Linked DNA regions of Stegostoma tigrinum. The protein of the gene in region 2 purifies or fractionates together with the protein of the main gene of each other region. This does not show direct contact. Links are inferred from orthologs where the notes say so. Each region holds a gene or a part of one and is shown on either strand. Other genes may lie near its edges.

Region 1 (6,876 bases), on a different chromosome or scaffold from region 2:
CACCACACCCCACAATACCTCTGCTAACTCCCACCCATTTTTAACTCTTCACCCAGTAGATAAGATAAATTTCCTCTTATCATTCTCTTGGGTACTTCAATAACCAAATTTGCACTAAAACTGCATTTTGAAATGACATGCCATGGAACTTGGTTTTAATAAAAGGCGGCAGATAAGTCATGGAAAAACTTATTTAATGTAGTTTTTGGAACTATAAAATTGTCAGTAAGAGCAATTTCTAAATAAATGGAGAAAAATTTACAATAGGATAATCACAGGCTGTGGACAATTATTTCCAATCATACCAGGGAGAGTGCTGTGCTGGATCTTGTCCTGCAAAATGAGGTAGGTCAAGTGCAGAAATTCAAAGTGGGAGAGCACTTGGGAAATAATTATCATAAGGTTCAATATTATTTTGGAAAAAGTGTAAAGAAAAAAAAAATCAGTTGATGATTAAAATCCCAGACTAGACCTTTACTCTTAGTTGACTAAAAATATCATTGAGAACATAAGGAAGAAAAAGACAGCACATGAACCATATTGGAATAACATTAGAAATTAGGACGGCAAATCTCAAATGCATAGAGATTAAAGCTGGTAGAACGAAGTTTAAGATGAAGCATGAGGAAAGGATGGCTGTCTGTGCTCAGATAAACAGTAAAAATGTTCTTCAAACATATTAATGTTAGAAGATGACTGAAGGATAGAGTGGGGCCCATGAGGAATAAGCAGGGTGAGCTGCTCACTGAAGCAAAGTGTATGGCACAGGTACTAAGTGAGTACTGTGCTTTTGGTTTTATCAATTAGAAATGGCACAGTTGAAAATGTGGGTGTTAAGCAACTGAGCAGAGTGATAGATAAAGAGGAGGTGCAAAAAAAGGCTGGCAGGACTCCACGCAAAGTCACCTGATCCAGATGTGATGCACCCTAGATTGAGAGTTAGCGAGCAACTTGGATTTTTGGAATTAAGGTACATAATTCTGAAGGTGACCGGGCAATTTGAAACAATTCTTGGGAATGCTTAAAGGATCCTTGGTTTGACAAATAATGTCATAAAGTATAAAAGCCAGGAACCAATGCTACCCTCTACTGATCATTGGTCAGCTCACAACTGGAGTATTGTGTTCAGTTCGAGGCACCTTATTTAAGCATGTTGAAGCCTTGGAGAAAGTGCAAAAGGAGATATTAAAACAACACTGTAGTAAGGAATTTTAGATACAAGGAAAAAGAGGGGGGTTGGGATTATTTTCCTTGGAGCAGAGGTTTAACAAGTGATCTTATAATGGCATTCAAAATTATCAGTTTTGACAGGGTAAAGGGGGATATTCTGTTTACATTAGCTGGTATATCAGTAACTAAGCTGATCACAATTTGAAGACTATGAGCAAGAGAACTAGAAGGGAGATAAGGGGAAACCTCTGTAGTCCAAGACATGCTAGGATTTGAAATGCACTGCCCGCAAGAACGGTGGAGGTAGATTTTATCAGAAGTTTTAAGTTGGATATATATTTGAAAGTGATTACAGAAACAGGGCTGGAGAATGGGACTCGCATGATGGGAACTGCAGGTGACAGAGAATCCAAGATAAAGTGTAGAACTGGATGAACACAGCAGGCCAAGTAGCATCTTAGGAGCACAAAAGCTGACGTTTCGGGCCGAGACCCTTCAGGCCCAAGACGTCAGCTTTTGTGCTCCGAAGACGCTTCTTCGAGAATGGGACTGGGTAGCTCTTCAGGGAGCCAGTTCAGACACGATGGGTTGGATACATTGAGTTTCTCGGATTCTACTTGGAATATATTTGGCATAACTTCAGGACACCAAAAATTACGTGATACATTACTTTTTTCAGAACATTAAATTACTTTAACTAAAATATGTAAATAAACATGTACAGCAGCCTCAGGAACAAACGTGACGACTGATCAATGACTGCCTATGTAACCAGGACATGGGGGAGGGGGTGAGATGAGGAATTACAATCTGCGAATTCAATTGTAGAGATGCTCAATTTTAATAAAATTTTGCGTATTAATCCGTTGTAGACTAGCATTAATTGAAACTGCATTCCGATCACTTCTATGTGTGGATCATAATTTGTTAGACTCGATGCTGAAAACAGATTGACGGTCGACTACAGCCAAAAGGGTGCAAGGAAAATAACATTCCAGATCATTCAGCACCCACTCAACTCCATTTAAGAGCCATTTCTTGCCTAATAATTGGAAATCTTCCCATCCTAAACGCTTAATCTTCCAGATGAAGCCGTAGGGAGGATTTTAAGTAGATCTGTTGGGAGACGGACTCCAGGAATATGCTGGGTAAAGAATACGCAGTAAGTAGCCGCTGTTTACTCGCCCGCCTCCCGCTCTCGGGCGCCATGTTGTCATGTTTTGTTCTTCCAAAAAGCAGCGCCTCGCTCCGCAGCGCGGTACCCACCGGCAATAAAGACGGCTGCCGAGGAGAAAATACAACTCAACGCGGTTTTAAAATAATATTGCGCCACCGGGGGGTAGACCCCTCGGCCGGACGAAAAGCTTTGGGGAGGGGGGGAAAAATAAAACGGGGGAGGGGGAAGAAAGGAGAGCTAGCGGCCTAGTTTTTCACTCTTCCACCTTCGCTTTCAGAGAAGCGGGTCCGGACCTGCGTTTCCGAATGACGATACGCAGCCCAGTACCGGGCTGGGGGGGGGGGGGGGGGGGGAAGAGAGATGGTGAAGGGGTCCTGGGAATCGGTGTTCCCTCTGCACGCCCTTCTCTTCCTCCCTCTGCGCTCAGTGAACCGAGGCCGACTTCGCCGCTGCCGCCCGCCCATCTCCGCGACTGTGTGTGGGAGCGGGTCGGCGGTGAGCCGGGCGACAAATGGCAAGCGGCGGCCTCGCTCCAAAGCACCACCGGTACCGATCGTTACCTGATTAAACTCTTCGCCAACATCCGCGTAGATATCAATGTGATCCACACCGTCGGCCATTTCACCGACTCTCGCACTCTCTCTCCCTCTTTGCGCCTCGAGCGGCCGTTTGAAGAGTCACTGCATCACTTCCGGATACAGCGCCCTCATCCTCCCCAGCAGGCCGCCATCGCAATTACACCTCACACCCCCCCAAAAAACAGAGCAAGATCTCTTCATTCGGGGGGAAACGAAATATTTCCATTCCAGTCTCAGGTTGCAACCACCACTCACCCGCCCCTTCCAACACCTGCATCCTTAAAATACCAAATTACATCTGCAGTTCTCACCTAACTTTCTAATTTAAGAGCATAAACTAATTCAGGGCAAACACTGTGTTGAGTGACAAGACCTAAGCAAGTATAGAGGACCAGAAGGACCTTCTCAAAACGAAACTGCAGATGCTGGAAATCAGAAACAAAAACAGAAATAGCTGGGAAAAGTCAACAGGTCTGATAGCATCCGCAGTGTTAGCATTTCGGGTCCAGTGACCCTTCTTCAAAAGATCAGGTGGCACTGGATTATAATCCACCAGGTTTATTTAGAATCACAAACTTTTTAATCGCTGCTCCTTCGCCAGGTGAAGTGAGCACACAGGCACATCATTTATAGGCAGAGAGAGCAAAAGGTTGCACAAGTGGTGTGACTGGAGTGTTGGCAGGCAGAGTATTAGGTCCTCTGCAGGTGACCAAGAGTGTCGGATAATGAGAGTAAAGTGTCAACAGCCAAATAACACGTGAAGGAATGACCTACGATTTGATTAAATGAGGTAGAGAGATAATTACAAAAAAACAAAAATAAGGCAGCGGTGGAGACAAACCAAATGACTGTAATAACATTGTATCAGAGATGATGGGAACTGCAGATGCTGGAGAATCTGAGATAACAAAGTGCGGAGCTGGATGAACACATCAGGCCAAGCAGCATTTTAGGAGCACATGAGAGCCGCATGCTGAGGGTCTAACCAAAGTAGTAGTAATCCAAACTGTACAAACTAATTAAGGTCGAGAGATCATAAAAATTTATCAAGATGATCACGTCAAAACAGGACAGTAAAGAAGATTTTACAGATACATAACAGTGTGATGGGATCACATGTAGCGTGACATCAACACCAGATCACAGTTGAGGCCATCTACATGGATACAGAACTTGGGTATCAGTTTTTGCTCGGCAGTTCTGCATTGTTGTGTATCTTGAAGGCCACTTACTTGAAAATTGGAGGCTTAATGTCCTTGACCGCTGAAGTTTTTCCCAACTGGGAGGGAACATTCTTGTCTGGCAATTGTTGTGCAGTGTCCATTCATTTGTTGTCATATTTGGTGACATTCGTCTATGTGGTCTTGCCAATATATGATGCCTCGGGGCATTCTTGCCTGCAGCATATGAGATAGAAAACACTGGGTGGGTCACATGAATTTTTGCAGAATACATGGTGGCCGGTCTTCCCATATGTGATGGTAGTATCCATGACAATGATCCAATATGTCTTGCAGAGGTTGCCGTGGCAGGGTTGTATGGTGTTGTGGTCGATATCCTGAAGTCTGGGTAGTTTGCAACAAGCAATGGTCTGTTCAACGTTTGGCAGTTGTTTGAAGGTGAGATGTGGAGGCTTGGCGATGGTTTTGGCAATATGCTCATCATTGCTGACATGCTGAAGGCTGTGAAGAACAAGGAGTAGTTTCCACTTGGGAATACTGCAGCATCAATACCCTCAATATCGAGTTCATTAACTTTAAGAGTCTGATTCCACCCTTCCATGTTTCTTACCCATTTCCAAACCCAGTCTGCTAATGCACTGGTTGCTTTTAGCGCAATCAACCATTTACACATAAACGTAGCTCTTTATTATCAAGTGTGCAGGTTTTCTTCTGCCCTGACCTGCTGTTCTTGTTTACCGAACCTGTTCACATCCCTCTCTCTCTGGGCTCAATCTCCACCCATCAACTCACCACACCCACTTTCCCACTCCCCCAGCCCCTTCCACTTTGCCTTCAGCATGAGTAACACATTTCCTAGATACAAACAGTTCTGCACAGTCATCAGACTCGAAACATTGGCTGTGCTTTCTCCCCATGGATGCTGCCAGACCTGCTGAGTTTCTCCAATAATTTCTGTTTTTGTTTGAAATCTCCAGCATCTGCAGTTCTTTGTTTTACTTTAGAGGTTATGATGGAGCTGTATGTAACTACTGTATGCAGTTCTGGTCACTGCAGGAAGGATGTACTTGCATTGGACAGAGTGCAAAGGCAATTCAGCAAAATATTACCTGATAATTCAGGGAGGATAGGAGACTAGATAGGCTGGCATTGTTTTCCTTAGAGCAGAGAAGAATGAGGAGGGTCCAGAGTTGAGATGTACAACATTATAAGGGGTTAGTAAGGGGAGATGGGGAGAACCTTTTACTAGAGGACTCAATAACCTGAGGGCACAGTATTGAAGGAAGAAGTAGGAGATTTATAGAGGACTTGTAGATCCTTTCAACCAAGGGGGTGTTGGGTAGCTAAAACTCTCTGCATCAAATGTTGTGCGAGCAGAAATCTTAGACATTCGAGAAATACTTAGATGAGCACTTGATATCCAATAGCATACAAGGCTGTGAGCCAAGTGCTGGAAAATGGGATCAGAATCGAGAGATGCTTGATGATTGGTATGGACACGATGGGACACAGGATCTCTTTCCATGCTGTAAAATCTTGATGAAACTATGAACCTCCTCCTGGTCACTCGTCATTCACCCTATCAACATATCTACTGTTCCTTTCTTCTCGATGTGCTTAGCCAGCCTACATTAAATGTATCTGTCATAGAATGATTACAGCACAAAGCAGGCCATTTGTCACATCACACTATTTGATGCTGCCATTTAACTCAATTAATTCTTCAGATATTGATCTCTGTTTTCTTAATAATCTCTCAGGGAAGTGATTTCTCATGGCTGCATCAATTGTCAAGTGGTCACACTTGTGCAGAAACACAGGTTTGCAGTGCCACAGAACTGAAGGGTGACATATTGGCAGCAGCCAGCAATAAATTTCAGAGTAAATGGTGAACAGCAGAGGTCCTAGCATTGTACCCTGTGAAACACCCTTCTCACATTTTCGCAGTCTGAGCAGCTTCTGTGAACATCGTGTGAAGGGACAGGGAGGCAGGGGCAGAAATCTGTTCTTGTGTTTTATCCCTCCGTTTATTGTCTGGCCTGTCTGATCTCCAAGACAATCTAGGTCAGCTGTGTGCAAATGGAGGCCAGTAAATTATGTTCCAGCTTGATATCTCAATGTTTAATTTATGCAGATGGTTACTATAGTGGCTATTCACTGAAATACACAAAGGAACATAAGAATAGGAGCAGGCCATTCTGCTCCTTGAGCTCCTTCAGCCTGTTCCATATTCAGTGACATCATGGTTGATCTGTTGCCCAACTCCAGAAACCTGCCTTTGACCCATATCACCTAACACTTGTATTTAACAAAAGATTGTCTCTCTCAGAAATAACAAGTGATCCAGCATTCGCTGCCATTTGTGGAAGAGAATTCCAAACATCTGTCACCCTTTTTGTGTAGAAGTGCTTCCTAGCATCGCTCCTGAATGGTCTGGCCCTAATTCTCAGACAATGTCCCCAGTTCTACAATCCCCAACCAGCGGAAATAGTTTATCTTTATCTGCCTGTCTTTTCCTGTTAATATCTTGAAGACTTCAATAAGGTAACCTCTTAACCCTCTAAAATATGGAGAAAACTGGCCTAATTTCTATAATCTCACCTCATAACCTAACATCTGAAGTCCAGGTATTATTCTTGTAAACCTACATTGTACTGTCTCCAAGACCAAAATATCCTTCCTACGATATAGTGCTCAGATCTCCTCAGTTCTCCAAGTGGGATCTAACCAATTGCAACATGATGCCTGCATCTTTGTAGTACAGTACAGT
Region 2 (7,638 bases):
GTTGATATTTTTACATATGCCTTAATAATTAATTCTCAATTATTCATAGCAGGAATGCGCCTGAAGTTAGACATAAAATACTGTTATGTACTCCTCATATTTCTTTGGATTGCCTGTTGGGTTTCTCCTATGTTAGCTCAATATCAGTGAAAGAATATCTACAAATATGGCCATCTCCAACAGAGAATCTACTCATCGTGCCCCCTTGGCATTCAATGGCATTACTATTGCTGAACCCCCACTATCAACATCCTAGGGTTCATCACTAGCCAGAAACTAAAACATGGACCAGCCAGTAAACATTGTGGCTACAACAGCAGGTCAAAGGCTGAGAATTTCAGTGAGTAATTCACATTCACAGTCTCCGAAGCCTGATTGCAATGTAAGCCAGGTGTGTGATGGAATACCTTTCATTGCCGGCACACACACAGTTCCAAAACAAGAAGCCCAACACTGTTCAGGACAGAACAGGCCACTTCAATCCTTCCACCACTGCACAGCGGCTGCAGCAGGTTCCGTCTACAAGACGCACTGCAATTATTCACCAAGTTTTCCTTGACAGCACCTTCCACATTCTCAAATTCTAACACTTACAAATACAAAGGAAGCAGATGCCTGGGATGACTTTAATCAGTAAATTTCCTTGCGAGTCTCTCACTATCCTGACTTAGACGTACAATGCTTTTCTTTCATTTCTGCTGGGTTAAGTCCTGGAATTCACTTCTGAGTGCATCTACCTGATGTAGACCATAGCAGTCCAAGAAAGCAGCTCATGACCATGGGCAATAAATGCTACCCTAACTGTTCAAATCCCACCACTGAATATTTTTGAGAAATGTATGCTTTTAAAAAAAATCCGAAACTATATCTGAACAGAATGAGTGACAAATAAAACTTGTACTTAAAATAGCTAGTTCACAGATTCATGCTAAAAGTAAAAAGTCACCTAATTGTAAATCCCTCATAACTCTTTCATAAATATTCAAAAGACAGGAAAGCACCCATGTTTCCAGGGGTACTAAATCTGAGAGACAAATTTACCCAATAATTCCAATTCCCTACCTACTTAAAAATCTGATCAAAACCACATTCTTAAGGGTATGCAACAATGTTGAGTTTCAATATATGTATAAGAAATAAGAGTTTTTCAATTCAGAGGAGACTAAATCATATAATCTGTAATGTCGTATACTGTAACTGAAATCCAAGTTGGCTAATAGGTATAATCAAGTAAAATTCAAATTTCTGCTTAATATAGGAAGGACTGAGTGAAGCTTGGAGAAAAATCCAAAATATAATTTTTGTAAGGGTTAGCAATTTCTTGCAACTTCATCTTGGACTGCTCTACAGAGTATGTACATAATTCATAAAATGCTCAAGTTGGTAAAAACTGAATGATTCAAAGGATTCAACTGCAGCCTCTTACTGGATTTTAGCACCTGTTTGCAATTTTCAGCTATTCAAACAGCAGGAGGCAACAGCAAGTTCTAACCAGTTGTATGAAACGCAGTTAAGGAACAGCGGCTCTACTAAATACTAATATATTGATTGTTTAAAAAAATCTCAAAACAGCAAATGCTGAAAAATTCACAGACAAATACATTCAGAAAATTTTGGTCTTCACACAATTATAAAAGAACATACAGGCAGATCCCAGGTTGCGGACGGGTTCGGTTCCTGAGTTTAATTTGTACACAAGGTGGAACACAATGCAGGACAATTATAAAGCAAGTATGCGTATCAAAATTTCTTGTACTTATGTTGGATATTTTAAATTATATCCCAGTATGAGATTGCTTTCATAAGTACAAACATTTGTATGTTGGACATTCATAGATCAGCATCTCTCTGGAATAGATTAACTATTGATTAGACTTGTTTGTCAATTAGACATTTGACCAAAAGAAACATAATTCAATTTAATACATTTAAATACTGAATCAAACCCTTCAATGAAATTGAAAAGGCAAAAGATTAAAAATATTTTAAAGTAAAAACATATAGACAAATCCACATCTGTCATTACTTCAGTACTCCCCTAAAACTGCAGGCAGCCAAACATACAAGGTTTGGCCCGAAACATATGCCTTCCTGCTCCTCTGATGCTGCTTGGCCTGCTGTGTTCATCCAGCTCTACACCTTTGTTATCTCAGGCACCCAAACGTGCAAGGTTTTAGTGAAAACAGACACAAATACACGTTTTGTACCAAGGTGAACTGTTTTCCCTGTGCAGATCTCCCTTTGGTTCCGAAAAGGCACGACTGTTCCTTCTCTTACCATTTTGCCGTTTATATCCCTACAGCAGACTTCTGGATTCCCTTTTATGTTGCTAATGAATGGGTGGGGGCAAAGGGGGTACGGGTCAGAACATAGAGCGCAGTGGTTGGAGGGGCTGAATGAGGAGAAGAGGCAGTGTGCAGAGGAGCTGAGAGAGAGGGAATGCCCAAGTCTCCACATGGGCTGAATGTGGAATCGGACTACGGGGGGTGCAGAATACAGAGGGACGGAATGGCCTTCTTCCTGTCACCAGGGTTGGCTAAGTTGACACTGAGCTTGCGCAATGCACCCACCCGCCGCTCATTCGGTATTCATTGAGAAACCAGTTTTAAATTAACTCCTGGAAACACGGACGATTTTGACTCGAGGCCGCAGCAGGGCCGACGGGGTGGGATGACGGGGAGGCCCTGGAATCCTTTATATAAAAAAACCCAGAAAAAGCCTGGTCCGGTAGGCCCTGCTCACCTTGTCGGTTCTCGTGCAACTGTTTCTCGAATTCGTCAAAGTCTGACATTTGTGTCTGTGTGAACCTTTACGATTTTTTTTCAAAAAGAAAGTGGGTGAAACTTGTTTTTTTTAAAAAGAAAACAAAAGGTGGTTTATCAATCGTGAGTCCCGCGCCGTCCCTCGATCACCGTTAAAAACGGTGCCGCAGCTCTCCCCCCCGCCGACTCGGGTTCAGACTCTGCTCCCTCCGCACAATGGCCGCTTCACCCGCGGCTTCCGGATGGCGCTCTCCTCCTCCCCTCCCCCAACGCCGGGACCGGCCTCCGACTGACAGCTCAATTCACCAATCGTTGCCGAGAGTATCCCCCCATGGGCGAATCGTTGGGGCAGGACCGCGGAGGCCACGTTGGGTCGCGGAGGGACGGTGCGCGCAGAGAGTCAAACGCCGTGTGGGAACTTAACGCATTTCACTGCCGCTCTTCCTCAAAGTGACACAATGACAGTAACAGACACATTCAAAATAAACATTCCCTAACTTTCACCCAGTAAGGTGTAAAGTGTTTTCAGTTACGTTTACATTTTTGTTTCCATTTCTTCGTTTGCTAGCCAATACCTACGGGCTCAGAGATGGCTTGTTTATTCTGTTTTGGTTGAGTGAGTTCTGAGATGGCTGATGAATCCAATGGACCATTTCAAGACTCTGCCACATGAAGGGCAAATTGGACTTGAAGGACAGGCACCTAGAATAGAGGTTGTGCTCCCATTGAAGTCCTTCAATCTGTTTGATGCCTTCTAAAATAAATTTCCCCCTTTGATCATGCCATGAGTTGCTGCAGAGACTCCCTCTCTTTATAGATGCTTAGAGCACCTCCCTAAAGTGTTTCCCTCTGTTCTTCTGGCAGTCTCCTGTTGTGACTGAGTTCTGAGTAGAAAGCAACCAGATCTATTGTCGAAAAATTTAATTTTTATTCTCCTGTTTGACCAGTTTTTGAAGAAGGACAACATGAGACACTTTAAAAGTACCAAATTAAGATACATGGGGAGCTTACTGTTATATTGCTAATTATCCTGATATTTTGTGTTTCTTTTTAAAGTTGTCTACTTTTATACGTTTCTGAATATAGTACAAAAAAAATGATGGAGTCATTTTGTATCACCACGCAAAGTCAAGAGCCAGTTCTCATGTATTCAGGGCAAATTAAACAGTAGAGCCCATCTAAATCTGGATAAGAACAATCAGTTTTTGTTCCAGTGGGCAAGACGGAAAATTGATGAAAAAAGAGTTTGCTTAAGCTTTTCATCTTGTAAATCAGCACAAAAATAATGCCAAATTTCAAATAACCAAACAATTATACAAGAGAAGAAGATGCTAAATAATTGGCGATAACAAAGTGTGGAGCTGGATGAACACAGCAGGCCATGCAGCATCTTAGGAGCAAAAGTTGATGTTTTTGCGAGTTGACTTTGATTGCTTGAGGCACTGTCTTGGAGAAAGTGATGAAGAGCTACATGGGCTCTCCAAAATTACATAAAATTTGAAGCTGTTGCTTATTTTGTAATGTATGGGTTCCTGCATGTGAATGCATATCATTTATTCACAGCACAAATCAGCTATTTTACAAACTCAACAGATTATTTTAAGCTATGCTAATGCAGACGTTAGCACTCTTATTTAACAAGTGCTATAAACCATAGAGTCATAGGGCTGAAAGAGCATGCAAACAGACCCTTTGGTCCAACTCATGCATGCCAACCGGATATCCTAAGTTAATCTGGTCCCTCTTGCCAGAATTTGGCCCATATCCCTCTAAACCCTTCCTTTTCACATACCCATCCAATTGCCTTTTAAATGTTGTAATAGTACCAGCCTCTTCCACTTCCTCTGGTAGCTCATTCCGTCCATGCACCAGTCTGTGTGTGAAAACATTGCAACTTAGGTCTCTGTTAAATTTTTTCCCCTCTCATACCGTCTAGTTTTGGACACTGCCACCCCGGGGGAAAGACCTTGACTATTTTCCCTTTCGATGCCCCACATGATTTTATGAACCTCCATAAGGTCATCCACAGCCTCCGACACTCCAGGAAATATAGCCCCAGCCTATTCAGGCTCTATCTATAGCTCCAATCCTGGCAAGATCCTTATAAATCTTTTCTGAACCCTTTCAGGTTTTACAACATCCTTCCTGCAGTAGGGAGACCAGAATTGAATGCAGTATTCCAAAAGTGGCCGAACAAATGTCCTGTATAGTCCCAACATGACCTCCCAATTCCTATACTCAATGAACTGATTAATAAAGGCAAGTGTACCAAACACTGCCTTCACTATCCTATCTTCTTGTAACTCCACCTTCAAGAAACTATGAACCTCCCACTCCACAGTCTCTTCAATTAGCAACATTCTCCAGGACCTTACCATTAAGCCCTGCCCTGATTTGCCTTACCAAAATGCAGCACTTCACATTTATCTAGACTAAACTCACTCTGCCACTCCTCAGCCCAATGTCCCTTCTGACGAAGGGCCCATTGTATTCTGAGGTAACCTTCTTCACTGTCCACTACACCTGCTATTTTGGTGTCAGCTGCAAACTTACTAACCATACCTCCTCTGTTCACACTCAAATCATTTATCTCAATGCAAAAAGCAGTGGACCCAGCACTGATCAAGCTAGTTCTAAATTCAAATGGCTAGTTCTCCCTATATTCCATGTGATCTAACCTTGCTAATCAGTCTGCCATGAGAGACCTTATTGAATGCCTTACTGAAGCCCATTTAGGTCATATCCACTGCTCTGCCCTTATCAATCCTGACCCGAAACATTAACTCTTGATTCCTCTTCACAGATGCTGCCAGACCTGCTGAGTTTTTCCAGGCTGTGGACGCCAGGGCATTGAGTACATATGAGACTGAGATAGATAGGTTCTTGATTATCAAGGGCTATGGGGAGAAAGCAGGAGAATTGTATTGAGGAACTTATCAGCCATGATTGAATGGTGGAGCAGACTCGATGAGCCGAATGGCCTAATTTTTGTTCCTATGTCTTATGGTCTTACTTCTGTTTTAGTTTCTGATTTACAGCATTTGTAGTTCTTTCAGTTTTTAGGGAAAATTTGAACCTCAGGCTTTGCAGGAAGGCACGGGCCTTTGATGGAAAATATATTTATCAGCGCTTCAAACATTGCAAATATTAGTGTATAGGTGAGATAAACATTTTCTTGCAAATATTGTATTTTTTAAGAGTTTTCATGAAACCTTTATTTGTTGTGGTAGATCTTCAGCTCACCTCCACCCTCCTGATGGCTGTTTCAGATTCTCTGTTGTGCATGGACTGTCAACCCTATGATTTAGCATAAGGTCTTCAGACAGAAGTCCTGCTTTGCTGTAAATTTGCTGTTCATACTCTTTGGAGGGTTTCCTTCTTCAGTTCATAAAACCTCAGCATTGTTCTACCCTGTTGTAAAATAAACAGAAGTTGCATCTAGGTTGTGGTACATGGTAGAGCAAATATGACACATCAGGAACTTTCTGATTGACAAGCAAGTGGACAATAAAATATCCTTGCAGGGCAATTGCAGAAAGTTGTTTAAAACACTAAAAGAATGTAAAGTTTGTTGTTTCTGACACTCCAGGGCTACAGAATCATAGGGAGATGATTGTGTAGTGGTAATGTCACTGAACTAGAAAGCAATTCCATGGGCCATTCTAGGGCCATCTATTCAAATCCTACCACAGCAGATGGTGAAACTGGAATTTAACAGAAAAGAAAATAAAGAATAAAAATCTGGCCTAATAGTAATCATGTGACTGCTGTGAATTGTCATTAAAAACATCCCATCTGGCTCATTCAGGGAAGGAAATGTGCCGAGGGGTGGCCTACATATGAGTCCACATCCATAGCAATATAATTGACTCTTAGGGCTGAGCAATAAATGCTGGCTTTGTCAATGGCAGCCCCATCACAAGAACAATAACACAGGAAAAAAATGATTACAAAGTGTGGAGCTGGATGAACACAGCAGGCCAAGCAACACCTTAGGAGCACAAAAGCTGACGTTTCAGGCCTAGACCCAAGGAAAATTTTCTGGTGAAGGATCTAGGCCCGAAACGTCAGCTTTTGTGCTCCTAAGGTGTTGCTTGGCCTGCTGTGTTCATCCAGCTCCACACTTTGTTATCTTGGATTCTCCAGCATCTGCAGTTCCCATTATCTCTGATCACAGGAAAAAAATGACTCAGCTTCTAACTCAGGTACTTCAATGAGAGGCTAAATATTATAGACAACTGGGTTATTTTTCAGTGTAAGACTTAGTAGGGATGACCTCTATATTAACATTCTTATGCACACTGACAGGATTAGTGACTATTTGTAGTCCATATTAATGGCTTAGATAAAGAGACTGAGTATAATATATGCAAATTTCCCGAAGATTCAAAGCTAGGCGGGGAAATAGAGTGGAAAATGCTCCAGCGAAGCTCAGTGCAAGCTGGAAGAACAGCATTTCATTTTCTACTTGTGAACTCTGCAGCCCCCTGGACTTGATATCGAGTTCAACAACTTTAGGGCTTGAGGCACCTTCTCCTTGTCCTTACCTCAATCCCTACAACACCAGCCTTTGATATCACATGGGCTGCTGCCATACACAACCCATTGTCAGCTACTAATAGCCTGTATTAGCAGCTATTTATTTGCCCAGTCTGACACTCCCCACTCCTTTGTCTGTCCAACTGTTTCTCTCTTTCTTTGTGTTCTATCTCCACATATCATTTACTTTGCCACCCTCACCCCCACTCCATCTTCTGCATCAATATCAACATTTTCCTCGCTACCATTGGTTCTGATGAAGCTTCATTGGACCTGAAATGTTAACTATACTCTCTCGCCACAAATGCTGCCTGAACTGCTGAGTTTTTCCAGTAAT
Region 3 (7,945 bases), on a different chromosome or scaffold from region 2:
CAGGAGCTGCAGATGCTGGAGAATGTGAGATAACAAGGTGTGGGGCTGGATGGACACAGCAGGACAAGCAGCATCAGAGGAGCAGTGGGGTAACAGGAGCTGCAGATGCTGGAGAATGTGAGATAACAAGGTGTGGAGCTGGATGAACACATCAGGCCAAGCAGCATCAGAGGAGCAGAGGGGTAACAGGAACTGCAGATGCTGGAGAATGTGAGATAACAAGGTGTGGAGCTGGATGAACACATCAGGCCAAGCAGCATCAGAGGAGCAGAGGGGTAACAGGAGCTGCAGATGCTGGAGAATGTGAGATAACATGGTGTGGAGCTGGATGAACACAGCAGGACAAGCAGCATCAGAGGAGCAGAGGGGTAACAGGAGCTGCAGATGCTGGAGAATGTGAGATAACAAGGTGTGGGGCTGGATGAACACAGCAGGACAAGCAGCATCAGAGGAGCAGAGGGGTAACAGGAGCTGCAGATGCTGGAGAATGTGAGATAACATGGTGTGGAGCTGGATGAACACAGCAGGACAAGCAGCATCAGAGGAGCAGAGGGGTAACAGGAGCTGCAGATGCTGGAGAATGTGAGATAACAAGGTGTGGGGCAGGATGAACACAGCAGGACAAGCAGCATCAGAGGAGCAGAGGGGTAACAGGAGCTGCAGATGCTGGAGAATGTGAGATAACAAGGTGTGGAGCTGGATGAACACAGCAGGACAAGCAGCATCAGAGGGGCAGAGGGGTAACAGGAGCTGCAGATGCTGGAGAATGTGAGATAACATGGTGTGGGGCTGGATGAACACAGCAGGACAAGCAGCATCAGAGGGGCAGAGGGGTAACAGGAACTGCAGATGCTGGAGAATGTGAGATAACAAGGTGTGGGGCTGGATGAACACAGCAGGCCAAGCAGCATCAGAGCAGCAGAGGGGTAACAGGAGCTGCAGATGCTGGAGAATGTGAGATAACATGGTGTGGGGCTGGATGAACACAGCAGGACAAGCAGCATCAGAGGAGCAGAGGGGTAACAGGAGCTGCAGATGCTGGAGAATGTGAGATAACAAGGTGTGGGGCTGGATGAACACAGCAGGACAAGCAGCATCAGAGCAGCAGAGGGGTAACAGGAGCTGCAGATGCTGGAGAATGTGAGATAACATGGTGTGGGGCTGGATGAACACAGCAGGCCCAGCAGCATCAGAGCAGCAGAGGGGTAACAGGAGCTGCAGATGCTGGAGAATGTGAGATAACAAGGTGTGGGGCTGGATGAACACAGCAGGCCCAGCAGCATCAGAGGAGCAGAGGGGTAACAGGAGCTGCAGATGCTGGAGAATGTGAGATAACAAGGTGTGGGGCTGGATGAACACAGCAGGACAAGCAGCATCAGAGGAGCAGAGGGGTAACAGGAGCTGCAGATGCTGGAGAATGTGAGATAACATGGTGTGGGGCTGGATGAACACAGCAGGACAAGCAGCATCAGAGGGGCAGAGGGGTAACATGAACTGCAGATGCTGGAGAATGTGAGATAACATGGTGTGGGGCTGGATGAACACAACAGGACAAGCAGCATCAGAGGAGCAAGGGGGTAACAGGAGCTGCAGATGCTGGAGAATCTGAGAAAACAAGGTGTGAGGCTGGATGAACACAGCAGGACAAGCAGCGTCAGAGGGGCAGAGGGGTAACAGGAACTGCAGATGCTGGAGAATGTGAGATAACGCAGTGTGGGGCTGGATGAACACAGCAGGACAAGCAGCATCAGAGGGGCAGAGGGGTAACAGGAGCTGCAGATGCTGGAGAATGTGAGATAACAAGGTGTGGGGCTGGATGAACACAGCAGGACAAGCAGCATCAGAGGAGCAGAGGGGTAACAGGAGCTGCAGATGCTGGAGAATGTGAGATAACAAGGTGTGGGGCTGGATGAACACAGCAGGACAAGCAGCATCAGAGGAGCAGAGGGGTAACAGGAGCTGCAGATGCTGGAGAATGTGAGATAACAAGGTGTGGGGCTGGATGAACACAACAGGACAAGCAGCATCAGAGGAGCAAGGGGGTAACAGGAGCTGCAGATGCTGGAGAATCTGAGAAAACAAGGTGTGAGGCTGGATGAACACAGCAGGACAAGCAGCGTCAGAGGGGCAGAGGGGTAACAGGAACTGCAGATGCTGGAGAATGTGAGATAACGCAGTGTGGGGCTGGATGAACACAGCAGGACAAGCAGCATCAGAGGGGCAGAGGGGTAACAGGAGCTGCAGATGCTGGAGAATGTGAGATAACAAGGTGTGGGGCTGGATGAACACAGCAGGACAAGCAGCATCAGAGGAGCAGAGGGGTAACAGGAGCTGCAGATGCTGGAGAATGTGAGATAACAAGGTGTGGGGCTGGATGAACACAGCAGGACAAGCAGCATCACACCCAGGTTCAGATGTGTTCATCCAGCCCCACACCTTGTTAACTCCCAACACCAGGCCCAGGATCAGGCTCAGACCCAGGCTAAGGTTCAGTCCCAGGCCCAGGCCCCAGTTCAGACCCAGGCCCAGGCCCCAGTTCAGACCCAGACCCAGGCCCCAGTTCAGGCCCAGGCCCATGCCCCAATTCAGGCCCAGGCCCAGGTCCCAGTTCAGGCCCAGGCCCCAGTTCAGACCCAGGCCCAGGCCCCATTTAAGGCCCAGGCCCAGGCCCCAGTTCAGACCCAGGCCCCAGTTCAGGCCCAGGCCCATGCCCCAGTTCAGGCCCAGGCCCAGGTCCCAGTTCAGGCCCAGGCCCCAGTTCAAGTTCAGGCTCAGGCCCAGGCCCCAGTTCAGGCCCGGGCCCTGTGCTCCCACTGTCCATGAGGCGCAAGGCCCACTCCGCTCCTTGAGTTCCCGGTCTCCCCCCACACCCCGGCCTCTCTCTCTCTCTGCCCCGCTCCCGGGGGAGGGGGGTATCTTCCTGCCCCCGGCCCCCGCTCCCACTTACTCCAACACAGCAGCGACATGATGGCGGCGGCGGCGGCTCCCGGGGCAACTGGGAAATGGCGGGAGGAGAGGTCACGTCATTGGAGGGGCGTGGCCAGAGCGTGGCGTCATTACGCCGCGTGGGGTGGGCGGGGAAACAGGGACATCATCACGCGCGTGGGGTGGGCGGGGAAGAAGGGACGTCGTCACGCGCATGATGGGTCGGGAGGGAGGTAGGAGACGTCATCGGTGTTGAGTTGCAGGGGAGGAGACTGGAGAACGTCATCACGTTTGGGGAACGGGGAATGTGAGAGATAGTGGGAACTGCGGATGCTGGAGAATCCGAGATAACAAGGTGTGGGGCTGGATGAACACAGCAGGCCGAGCCGGCGTCATCACGCTTGGGTTTTGGGGTGGAGAATGCAGCGAACGTCATCTCGCCCGTGGCGGGAGGCCGGGGTGAAGAATGTAGTAACGTCATCACGCTGGGTGAAAAGGGGCGGAGACTGTAGGAGCCATCCCGCAAGGATTGGGCGGAGTGGGGGGGGGGTGCGGAAGTGACGTCATCAAAAGTGGGGGGAAAGGGGCGGGGACAATAGGAAACGTCTCAACGCTCGGTGACAAAAGTGCGGTGGACTGCAGAGAACGTCATCACCTAGCTGCGGCTGCGTGGGAATGGTTTGGGGCGGGGGGGGAGGGAGAGCGTGACCCCTAGCGGTGGGGTGGTGACCTAACAGGCAGTTCACAGGAGCAGGTCATTCGGCCCCTCAATACTGCTGTACCATTACATAAGATCATGGCCAACCTCTTCCTGTGGGTAAAGCCCAGCTTACCCGCACCCCTCACCATGACCCTAACTCCCTTTACTGGTCAAACATCTGCCTTTGCCTTATCGAAGCTTTCAACATGGTCCCCTCAACTGTGCAGGGGATCCCACGGGTTTCCTGACCCATTGGGAGAAGATGGTCCTCCTCAACTCTGCCCCCCGGCTCCTCGTCTCAGCTTCCAGTGGGAGCAGCCTCCTGCTCCCTCCTTACCCATTCCCTTCATCGTTTTACCCTCATTCTTCCCAACTCCGCTGAGTATAGACCCAGACAGCTCAACCTCTCCTCGTCTTCCGACCCTCCCGACCCCGGGGTCTCTCCCCGTCATCCGGCCCTCCCAACCCCACGGTCTCTCCTCGTCATCCGGCCCTCCCAACCCCACGGTCTCTCCTCGTCACCGACCCTCCCGACCCCGGGGTCTCTCCTCGTCACCGACCCTCCCGACCCCGGGGTCTCTCCTCGTCACCGACCCTCCCGACCCCGGGGTCTCTCCCCGTCATCCGGCCCTCCCAATCCCACGGTCTCTCCTCGTCACCGACCCTCCCGACCCCGGGGTCTGTCCTCATCATCCGACCCTCCCGACCCCGGGGTCTCTCCCCATCATCCGACCCTCCCGACCCCGGGGTCTCTCCTCGTCATCCGACCCTCCCGACCCCGGGGTCTCTCCTCGTCATCCGACCCTCCCGACCCCGGGGTCTCTCCCCATCATCCGGCCCTCCCAACCCCACGGTCTCTCCTCGTCATCCGACCCTCCTGACCCCGGGGTCTCTCCTCGTCATCCGACCCTCCCGACCCCGGGGTCTCTCCTCGTCACCGACCCTCCCGACCCCGGGGTCTCTCCTCGTCACCGACCCTCCCGACCCCGGGGTCTCTCCTCGTCACCGACCCTCCCGACCCCGGGGTCTCTCCTCGTCATCCGACCCTCCCGACCCCGGGGTCTCTCCTCGTCATCCGACCCTCCCGACCCCGGGGTCTCTCCTCGTCATCCGACCCTCCCAACTCCGGGATCAACCGGGTGAGCCCCCTCTGCAAACCCCTGCAGTGCCAGTACATCCTTTCTCAAGGGAGGAGACCAAAACTGGATGCAGTCCTCCAGGAGTGGCCTGATCAGCTGCAACATAAACCTCCCTGCTTTTAAACGCCATCCCTCTATCGCACTGATGGACAGCATCCCCATTTACCACCTTAAGTACCCACTGCACCTGCAAACCAGCTTCCTTGTTGTGACTCGCGCACAAGGACACCCAGATCCCTCTGCACAGCACACCCTGCAATCCTTCACTGCTTAAACGATGGAGCATTTCTCTGTTATTCCAAGCGAAACTTCCCGATTGCAACCTCGCCCACTGGCCCGACTTATCTGCGATGACCCCATGGCAGAATTTCAGGGTCCCCTGCACACTTTGCGCATCATCCAGCAAAGCTTTGACGAACATGACGTGAGGGTGCAAGGTACGCTGTCCACGCACCCCCCCACCCCCACAACCCCGTGTTGAGAGCGGGGAGAGATGCAACAGTGTGAGTTCGATTCGCCAGCTCACCAATGCCAGGCAGTGACTGTTGGGCACAGAGTCTGTTTACAAACCCATAGGGAACTACCACTATTCACAGAATGTATAACATTACAGCGCAGTACAGGCCCTTCGGCCCTCAATGTTGTGCCGACCTGTCATACCGATCTGAAGCCCATCTAACCTACACTATTCCATGTACGTCCATATGCTTGTCCAATGACGACTTAAATGTACCTAAAGTTGGCGAATCTACTACCGTTGCAGGCAAAGCGTTCCATTCCCTTACTACTGTCTGAGTAAAGAAACTACCTCTGACACCTGTCCTATATCTTTCACCCCTCAATTTAAAGCTATGCCCCCTCGTGCTCGCCGTCACCATCCTAGGAAAAAGGCTCTCCCTATCCACCCTGTCTAACCCTCTGATTATTTTATATGTTTCAATTAAGTCACCTCTCAACCTTCTTCTCTCTAATGAAAACAGCCTCAAGTCCCTCAGCCTTTCCTCGTAAGACCTTCCCTCCATACCAGGCAACATCCTAGTAAATCTCCTCTGCACCCTTTCCAAAGCTTCCACATCCTTCTTATAATGCGGTGACCAGAACTATACACAATACTCCAAGTGCGGCCGCACCAGAGTTTTGTACAGCTTCACCATAACCTGTTGGTTCCGGAACTCGATCCCTCTATTAATAAAAGCTAAAACACTGTATGCCTTCTTAACAGCCCTGTCAACCTGGGTGGCAACTTTCAAGGATCTGTGTACATGGACACCGAGATCAAGGGTATCTGAGCACCACCATGCTATAATACTGGCTGGAACACCAGTAATACTGGTCACGGTGCCGATCATACCATTCTGGAGTCCAGTTGTACTGGTCGTGGGGCCGATCATACCATTCTGGAGTCCAGTTGTACTGGTCGTGGGGGCCGATCATACCATTCTGGAGTCCAGTTGTACTGGTGGTGGGGCTGATCATGCCATTCTGGAGCCCAGTTGTACTGGTCGTGGGGCCGATCATACCATTCTGGAGTCCAGTTGTACTGGTCGTGGGGCCGATCATACCATTCTGGAGCCCAGTTGTACTGGTCGTGGGGCCGATCATACCATTCTGGAGTCCAGTTGTACTGGTCGTGGGGGCCGATCATACCATTCTGGAGTCCAAGTTGTACTGGTCGTGGGGCCGATCATACCATTCTGGAGTCCAGTTGTACTGGTCGTGGGGCCGATCATACCATTCTGGAGTCCAGTTGTACTGGTCGTGGGGGCCGATCATACCATTCTGGAGTCCAAGTTGTACTGGTCGTGGGGGGCCGATCATACCATTCTGGAGTCCAGTTGTACTGGTCGTGGGGCCGATCATACCATTCTGGAGTCCAGTTGTACTGGTCGTGGGGGGCCGATCATACCATTCTGGAGTCCAGTTGTACTGGTCGTGGGGCCGATCATACCATTCAGGAGTCCAGTTGCACTGGTCGTGGGGGGCCGATCATACCATTCTGGAGTCCAGTTGTACTGGTCGTGGGGGCCGATCATACCATTCTGGAGTCCAGTTGTACTGGTCGTGGGGCTGATCATACCATTCTGGAGTCCAGTTGCACTGGTCGTGGGGGCCGATCATACCATTCTGGAGTCCAGTTGTACTGGTCGTGGGGCTGATCGTACCATTCTGGAGTCCAGTTGTACTGGTCGTGGGGCTGATCATACTATTCTGGAGTCCAGTTGTACTGGTCGTGGGGGGCCGATCATACCATTCTGGAGTCCAGTTGCACTGGTCGTGGGAGCCGATCATGCCATTCTGGAGCCCAGTTGTACTGGTCGTGGGGGGCCGATCATACCATTCTGGAGTCCAGTTGTACTGGTCGTGGGGGGCCGATCATACCATTCTGGAGTCCAGTTGCACTGGTCGTGGGGGCCGATCATACCATTCTGGAGTCCAGTTGTACTGATCGTGGGGGGCCGATCATACCATTCTGGAGTCCAGTTGTACTGGTCGTGGGGGCCGATCATACCATTCTGGAGTCCAGTTGTACTGGTCGTGGGGCCGATCATACCATTCTGGAGTCCAGTTGTACTGGTCGTGGGGGCCGATCATACCATTCTGGAGTCCAGTTGTACTGGTCGTGGGGCTGATCGTACCATTCTGGAGTCCAGTTGTACTGGTCGTGGGGGGCCGATCATACCATTCTGGAGTCCAGTTGTACTGGTCGTGGGGGCCGATCATACCATTCTGGAGTCCAGTTGTACTGGTCGTGGGGCCGATCATACCATTCTGGAGTCCAGTTGTACTGGTCGTGGGGCCGATCATACCATTCTGGAGTCCAGTTGTACTGGTCGTGGGGGCCGATCATACCATTCTGGAATCCAAGTTGCACTGGTCGTGGGGGCCGATCATACAATTCTGGAGTCCAGTTGTACTGGTCGTGGGGCCGATCATACCATTCTGGAGTCCAGTTGTACTGGTCGTGGGGCCGATCATACCATTCTGGAGTCCAGTTGTACTGGTCGTGGGGGCCGATCATACCATTCTGGAGTCCAAGTTGTACTGGTCGTGGGGGGGCCGATCATACCATTCTGGAGTCCAGTTGTACTGGTCGTGGGGCTGATCATACCATTCTGGAGTCCAGTTGCACTGGTCGTAGGGCCGATCATACCATTCTGGAGTCCAGTTGTACTGGTCGTGG
Region 4 (7,290 bases), on a different chromosome or scaffold from region 2:
TAACAGACCATGCTCAGGAAAGCAGGCTGTTAAATAATGCACAAAACTATATTGACTTGTGTTCATAAGCTATTTTCAGTCCAATAATTTCAGCTTAGGCACCAACTGTCATATTTCAAAATTTGCTGATGACACCAATTTGGGTGGGTACATTGTGAAACAGACTAAGAAAGGCTTCAAGAAGAATTTAGACAAACTTAGTGAATTGGCTAGAATATGCAGGTGGAAAATAATGTGAGTCAATGTGCAGTTATTTGCTTTAATTGAGAAACAAAAACAGAAAAGCAGACTTTTTCCTAAATGGTGAGAGGTTGGAAACTGAGGATGTCCAAAGATCCTACAAGTTAGCATTCAGGTTCAACAAATAACTAGGAAGGCATATGGTATGCTGGCTCTCCATCATAAGGGGACTTGAAAACAGGAATAAAAATATCTTGCTGCAGTTGAATAAAGCCTTTGCATGACCTCACCTGGAGTACAGTGTGCAGTTTGATTCCCATATCTAACAAAGGGATATGCATGCCAGAACAGGAGGGGAATGGAGGTTCACTAGATTAATCCCTGGGGTAGTGTAATTTTTCTATGATGGATTGAAGATGATGGATCTGCATTCTCTAAAGTTTCAAGACAAAATGAGGGATGAACTCACTAAAACTTACATAATGCTTACAGGATGCGAGAAGGCAGGGAAGCTGTTTCATCTGGCTGGTAAGTATAATTCCAGGGGACATAAACTAAGGAAGGGTAAGCTAAGTTCAAATCAAGACGTGCATGAATCTTGTCACTCAGAGGGTAATGAATATTGGAATTCTCTACCCAGGGGCTTCGGAAACTAAAAAAAAATTTGAGATATTCAAGTCAGAAATTAATGATATCAAACAGTACTAATATAGTGCAGGGAAGTGGTGTTGAAGTAAACGAATGGTGATGCAGGCTTGACTAGTTACATGGTCTGTTCCTGTTCCCAATGTAAATGCTAAGTTGCTGTTGTTGAACACATCCTGGTTTAATACTTCATCCAAAAAGCATAACATCTTCAAAGATGCAGAGTTGTCTCAAAATTCACTTAAATATTGAGCACTTACATGCTCAGCTACTGGAGGGCAGGTTAAATTTACTATATTCAGACTTGGAGATGAGCTGATCCCAAGTGATACTAGGAACGAGGCCAAAGTCAGTTGTTCCAAACAGCAAACCAAGCTTGTTTATGGTGGATCCTTGGTGAGCAATTGAAGAGAGATAGACTCAGTTTTTCGCAAAGGGTCAGAACATCAGCTAAGATCATTCCAGAGAAGTTTCTAACCCATTCACACTCATCCAAACAGGGGCAGCATCAAATCAAGGAAACAGCAAGGACACAAATGTTGGCATTATCTGCATACTTGGGTAGAATGTAACGGTACTAACAGCTGAAATTGTGGTCAGGCAATATATATTTTAAAAAACTGGTAGAAGATTAACATTCTGGGAACACACATGGCATAGGAACAAAAAGATAAATATTTGTGATGATGTGCTGAATGTTTCAACTCAAGCCATTGGGAAAAACTACAGAATAGAACAGATGCAACCAGTGATCAATCTTGTGAAATGTAGTTAAAGCTGAAGCAAAAATCTGTCGTCAGAAATAAAGAAGATTCCCTCACCACACAAGTGTTTGGAAGCATATATATTAACAAAAACATTCCTCCTTACATCATTCATGTACATATGCAGTACAAACATTTTCCACTACTCTTAAACTAAATGTATGGAAAAGGAATAGACCACCCAGTTCATTAAGCTTGGGCCACCACATAATACAAATGTCATTGACTTTCTGCCTTAACTTCATAAATCCTATATCAGGAATTTGTGAGACACCAACAATCCATCAATCTTAACCTTGAATATACCTAATAACACAGCACCTGTTAGTTTAGTCCAAATACCTCATCCTTTATCCTGAGATTATGGCCCCTCATTTTTCGTTTAACATCCAGAGAAAACAGCTTATCTATATTCACCCTATCATGTCCTGTAAGTTTCAATGAGTTCAACTCCAAATCTTCAAAGCTCTAAGAAATATATACCCAATCTCCTCAATCCCTGGTATAACAAACATGCTGTCGGAGGGATTAATTTGATGAACTGCCATTGTGCTCCTTCTATGGCAAGTACATCCCCTTTTCAGAAGGGTCGAGTGACATACTGGTAAACACCCTACATCTGAACCAGAAGGCCTGGGTTAAAGTCCCTCTGATGCTCTAGAGGTACATCATAATATTTCTGAACAAGTTGATCAAAAAATATTTATCCCCTGCTCAGGATAGGAAAACAAAACTGTAGGCAGTACTCCAAGACAGAATTCTAAAGATTCAAAATCTAACCCATTAAGTGATAACAAAGTGTGAAGCTGGATGAACACAGCAGGCCAAGCAGCATCTTAGGAGCACAAAAGCTGATGTTTCGGGCCTAGACCCTTCATCAGAAAAAGATTCTCGGATTCTCCAGCATCTGCAGTTCCCACTATCTCTAACCCATTAAGTGCGTTGTTGTAAAAACTTCTCCTCATCTCAGTGTTAGGTACTCGGTCCTCTATGCCGAACCACCTTTCTCCTCACACCACCACCCAAAAGTCAAGGGGAAACAAACTCTCAACCTGGTTTCAGTCAGACCAAGCACTTTGCTTATTCAGCTCACTCCGAACAAAGTTGACCCCAATCGCTCCAGCTTTACCATTGAACAAACAAGCAGACACAAAGGAAAACGTTGCATTAAACAGCCTGGAAACACAGGCCTCAGGTTCCTTGGCCAGCTCAGAAAATGGCCGGGTTAACAACCGGTCCGGGGGGGGGGGAAGTGAGGGAAAGAACATTCATCATGACGAAGGTATATTGTGCCTGACCCACCAAGCTCCGGCTACCAGGGACCAATAAACTAGCGGCCTCGAACCATCAGCCCCGCGACTACCTGAACACGCCTCCAACAGCCACCAAAACCGACCGGAAGAAAGTCGCGGCGCACCGGAACTTACTGTTATCAGTAACTTTATTAACAAAGAACACTGGCGCGATGCGCCAAAAACCGGAAGAAGGTCGTGGACCACCGGAAGTGGGGCTTTTCAATAACTTTATTGACAAGAAGACGCGGTGGATTCTGAGGGAGGTCGAGCGTTGGGGTGAGGTGCGGTTTTTGTTCCGTCTGCCGCTCGGTGTGCCGCGTAGTGCCAGCCTCCGCCGCAGCTCGAAGTCATGATTTGTCGCTAGATTGGGCGTGCCCGTGTTTATTGACTTTTAGATATGCCGCAGACTTTATCGCGATTTTGTACCAACGGCACGCACCTCCCGCTCGGCCTTCGCTTCCAGAGATAACGCTCACCAGGTGGGGCAGCTTTGTCCAGGGTGGTGGCTGTGTCTGAAGGCAAGGAACTGCTCATTAACATCCACCCCCCCCCCCTCCCCTCGGTGAGGGAAGGGGTGATATCGAGGGGGAAGGGGCCTTTCTGCCAGCTACCATGAGATACAATGAGAAGGAGCTGCTGTGTCTCTCCAAACAACCGGCCGAGAAGGCAGCCGAGCTCACCATGAAGGGCCCAAAGCGCAACGACGGTAAGGAGCAATCTAAGCTGCTCGAGAAACAAAAATAGAACTTGCTGGAAAAGCTCAGCAGGTCTGGCAACATTTGTGGGGTGGGGTGGGGTGGGTTGGGGAGAAACAGTTAAGGTTTCGGGCCCGGTGACCCTTCCTCAGAATTGGGGTCGGATGGGTTGAAAGGGATTTCACTTGCTCAGCAGGGAGGATGAAAACAGTCCTGGGGTGTTACATTGGAACCAATACCTACCTCATAATTTTGTAACCCGCTGGTGACATTGAGTGCAACGTGCAAGAGTTGACTCTGCCCACCTTTCCTTCGAGTATCTAAATTAGCAGTTATCACTTCTACTTAAACCCAGTTGCCTGTTCCATTTCTTAAATTCGCTGCAAGCACTACAATCAGAAAACAGTGGTTATGCACCGCAAATTGTTTAGCTCTATTATATGTCAATGTTAGCTGTCGATGGAGGGGACAGCAGAGAGTGTAAAGTAAATGCCAACCTATTATGATTGCATTTTATAAGTTTTTACTGTAACAATAACCCCTACCCTGGGGACAGGGAAACCACATGAACCAAAAAAATGTTATGAATGTTTCTTTTTTAAAAAAAGAAAGCTTCTATTTTAGTGTGGGGTCTGTAGCAGAAAAAGAGTGGGTTGGGGGGAGAGGGAGAGATTTGAGTGTGAAGTCTCATAGCCAGAAAACAAGATCATCAATAAATGGAGTTAAAGGGCAGCTGCTCATTGGGCTGGAAAGACAAACACAAGGTGGCCTGCAGATGTGGGAGTAATGGTGATTAGACTGTAAATGTATTTGCCGATAAGGAGAGTAACATAAAATTGTTAAAATCTGGATGTTAATGTGAGTCTTGTGGATAGAGGTGATGGTCGAACTGGGTTTGTTGTGCAATAAATAAGTCTTTTGAGTATGCTGAGTTCATGTTGAGTGGTCTGGAGGTGACTAGCATGAATGAGGGTTTAAATGGCCAATGATCCTGTATAGGAATGGAGACATTTGTTCATATGAGCATGATTTTTGTGATGTGTTGAAATGATTTCAAATTCAGTTTGGAGATTGATAACCATCCAATTCATTCAAAAATGTTGACTAGAGAGAGGTCTAAGAGGTCTGACATCTGTATTTACAAAGCTAAAAATGCTGACTATAGTTAGTATGTTGAGAGCATCTCTAGAGAGCGATACAGAGTTAATGTTTCAGGTGTGGAAAATATCAGCTGTAACAAGCTTTAGTAAGTGAAGGAGCATGGGAATGTGGATTTGGGAACAGAAGTAGGCCATTTGGCCTTTCCTTTTGCCTTTCCCATTAAATCATACGTGATCTGATTGTGGTCTCCATTCCATTTTCCTATCCAAAACTATCCACTGTATCAAATTCACTCATGGCCTTGTATATTTCAATAAGATCCCCTCATTCTACTAAGTTCTTGGAAGGAACTAGCCCACCCAGCTCAGTCGTTTCTTTGTAAGATGAGCCCTTCATATCAGAAATGAGCCAATTGAACCTTGTACACTTTTTTGAAAAAAAGTGTACATGTATTTGAGATATGGTTTCACCAAAGCCCTGCAGCAATAAAATGTTCCTGCTTATGTATTCCATTCCCCTTGTAATAATTGCCATTCTATTTGTCTCCCTAATCACTTGCCAGAGCTGCAAACTGATTTTTGTTTTGATTTGCATCACAGGTCACACAGACACAGTTTGGCAATCTCTGCCTGCACTGTTTTAAATAGTGGGTACATTTCCGTTTTTCCTTCCAAAGTAGACAAATTCACATTAAATTCAATCTGCCAGATTTTTGCCCTCTGTCAAATACCTGTTTCTAGACCCTTTACCTGCTTTTGGCAACTTACCCATCTTACATTTGACAATGATAATTGCTAATGAGTCTGCCCTATATTCAGCCCCATCATCCAAGAGGCAAGGCAAGTGAATGAGAGAAGAAAACTTAATCCCACCTGCCATCACCCATCTTGGTTGGCCTAATTCTACTTGATTAAAACCTCTAATGTCTGTTATATTTAAAGTTTTTTTTCCTTTAAAGATTGCATCCCTCAAATATTAGCTTTTTTCTCCACAGATGTTACTTGCTCCACTGAATAGCTCCTGCAATTTGTTCACTTCAGCGTCTGCAATATTTGCTTTGTGGGAGAGTTTAAACTGAAGCACAAGTTTGAATGAAAAGCAGTCCGAAACATTAACAAGTCATTCTCTTTCTAAATTCTATATATAACTAACATTTAAAAGCAGTTGTGTTAGGACTGATTGCTCTAGTTTATTGCTTTGGCCTGTTTATCATCATTTCCTGCTTGTGGGTGTTTAATCATTAGATAACATGCCTTCTGGCTGCCTTGCATTACAGCAATATCCAGATCAAATCGCTAGTATATTTTGCATTTTGTAACATCCTTGCAATTTTTTTCTGTGCCCTTTCTAGATCAGTAACATCCTCCTTATAGCAGGATGGCCAGAATTGGCCTTGCCATTGTCTTGTATAATGCAATATTTGTCACAACTCCTATACTCAATCTTCTAGCCAATGAAGGCAAGTATGCCAAATGCTGCCTTCACCAACCTAGCTACCTGCAATGCCACTTTCAAGAAACTGTGAACCTGCACCCCTAGATTCCTCTGCTCAGCAACACTCTCCAGGACATACCAGCTGTGTAAGTCCTGCCCTTGTTTACTTTACCAAAATGCAGCACCTCACATCAATCCAAATTAAACTCCACCTGTCACTACTTGGCCCATTGGCCTTATTTAGTCAAGATTTCATTGTACTCATAGATTACCTCTTTCACAGTCTGCTGTGTCAACAATTTTGGTGTCATCCGCAAACTAACTTACTATATCTCCTATATTCTCATCCAAATTGTTGACATAAATGATGAACAACAGTGAACCCATCCTTGCACCACACTGCTGGTCGCAAGCCTCCAGTCCAAATAACATCCCTCTACTTTTAAACGAAAGGTGTAACCAGAAAATACCAAGACCCCTTCTCCCGTGCCACCCCCCCCCCCATCAGATATTCCCTCAGACTGGGATAGCACCAGGTGAAACACTGAGCAAAGCCTGCTTACTGTTTTGAAACAGGAAATAAAGTTTCCTTGACTGTATTGTGAAAACAAAGACCCTATTACTTTGGAGTGGGGGGGTAAATAAATAAAGAAACGAACAAAAAATGGCTGTCCCTTGACTCTGTCTCCGCCAATTTCTGTTGGACAGGGACCACAAAGGATCAAAATAAAAATATATTCAAAGAAAATTAAAGGCTAGCAATGCACCAACACCACCATCTGTCTTCTACCATCAAGCCAATTTTGTATTCATTTGGATAGCATGTGATTTAACCTCACTAACCAATCTACTGCCAGGACTGGGGGATTTGAATTATAAGGAGACGCTTCAAAGGCTGGTACTTTTTCATCCCTGGAGTGTCAGGGGCTGTAGGTTTATAAAACCATGAGGGGCATCGATGAGGTGAATAAGCAAGGTCTGTTTTCCAAAGGTATGGAAGTCCTAAACAAAAGGTATAGGTTTAAGGTGAGCAGGGAAAGCATTAAAAGTGATCTGATGGGTAACTTTTTCTCACAGGGTGGTATGTGTATGGAATGAGCTGCTAGTGGAAGTTGTGAAGGTGGGTACATTTACAACACTTAAGAGGCATCTGGATGGGTACATGAATAGGAAAAG

The links.
Region 1: the proteins of splicing factor U2AF 65 kDa subunit-like (region 2) and cpsf6 fractionate together in Homo sapiens (co-fractionation; 3 studies listed by BioGRID, with this or other methods). This does not show direct contact. The link is inferred for Stegostoma tigrinum from reciprocal best matches to the Homo sapiens genes U2AF2 and CPSF6.
Region 3: the proteins of splicing factor U2AF 65 kDa subunit-like (region 2) and prpf19 purify together in Homo sapiens (affinity purification with western blotting; 3 studies listed by BioGRID, with this or other methods). This does not show direct contact. The link is inferred for Stegostoma tigrinum from reciprocal best matches to the Homo sapiens genes U2AF2 and PRPF19.
Region 4: the proteins of splicing factor U2AF 65 kDa subunit-like (region 2) and sf3a2 purify together in Homo sapiens (affinity purification with mass spectrometry; 3 studies listed by BioGRID and IntAct, with this or other methods). This does not show direct contact. The link is inferred for Stegostoma tigrinum from reciprocal best matches to the Homo sapiens genes U2AF2 and SF3A2.

Annotation. Positions count from the first base shown.
Region 1 is NC_081371.1:45,801,798-45,808,673, forward strand, and holds the start of cpsf6 (cleavage and polyadenylation specificity factor subunit 6), read right to left. Parts: upstream 3,023-6,876; 5' UTR 2,968-3,022; coding exon 2,908-2,967; intron 1-2,907. UniProt on the Homo sapiens protein: Component of the cleavage factor Im (CFIm) complex that functions as an activator of the pre-mRNA 3'-end cleavage and polyadenylation processing required for the maturation of pre-mRNA into functional mRNAs.
Region 2 is NC_081375.1:48,722,336-48,729,973, reverse strand, and holds the start of splicing factor U2AF 65 kDa subunit-like, read right to left. Parts: upstream 3,021-7,638; 5' UTR 2,792-3,020; coding exon 2,743-2,791; intron 2,728-2,742; exon of another isoform or gene 2,563-2,727; intron 1-2,562. UniProt on the Homo sapiens protein: Plays a role in pre-mRNA splicing and 3'-end processing. By recruiting PRPF19 and the PRP19C/Prp19 complex/NTC/Nineteen complex to the RNA polymerase II C-terminal domain (CTD), and thereby pre-mRNA, may couple transcription to splicing.
Region 3 is NC_081399.1:7,396,482-7,404,426, forward strand, and holds the start of prpf19 (pre-mRNA-processing factor 19), read right to left. Parts: upstream 3,020-7,945; 5' UTR 2,967-3,019; coding exon 2,948-2,966; intron 1-2,947. UniProt on the Homo sapiens protein: Ubiquitin-protein ligase which is a core component of several complexes mainly involved pre-mRNA splicing and DNA repair. Required for pre-mRNA splicing as component of the spliceosome.
Region 4 is NC_081383.1:19,450,586-19,457,875, reverse strand, and holds the start of sf3a2 (splicing factor 3A subunit 2), read right to left. Parts: upstream 3,006-7,290; 5' UTR 2,953-3,005; exon of another isoform or gene 2,892-2,952; intron 2,812-2,891; exon of another isoform or gene 2,642-2,811; intron 1,218-2,641; exon of another isoform or gene 1,086-1,217; intron 1-1,085. Other genes in the region: plekhj1 (pleckstrin homology domain-containing family J member 1), read left to right, coding at 3,497-3,590. UniProt on the Homo sapiens protein: Component of the 17S U2 SnRNP complex of the spliceosome, a large ribonucleoprotein complex that removes introns from transcribed pre-mRNAs.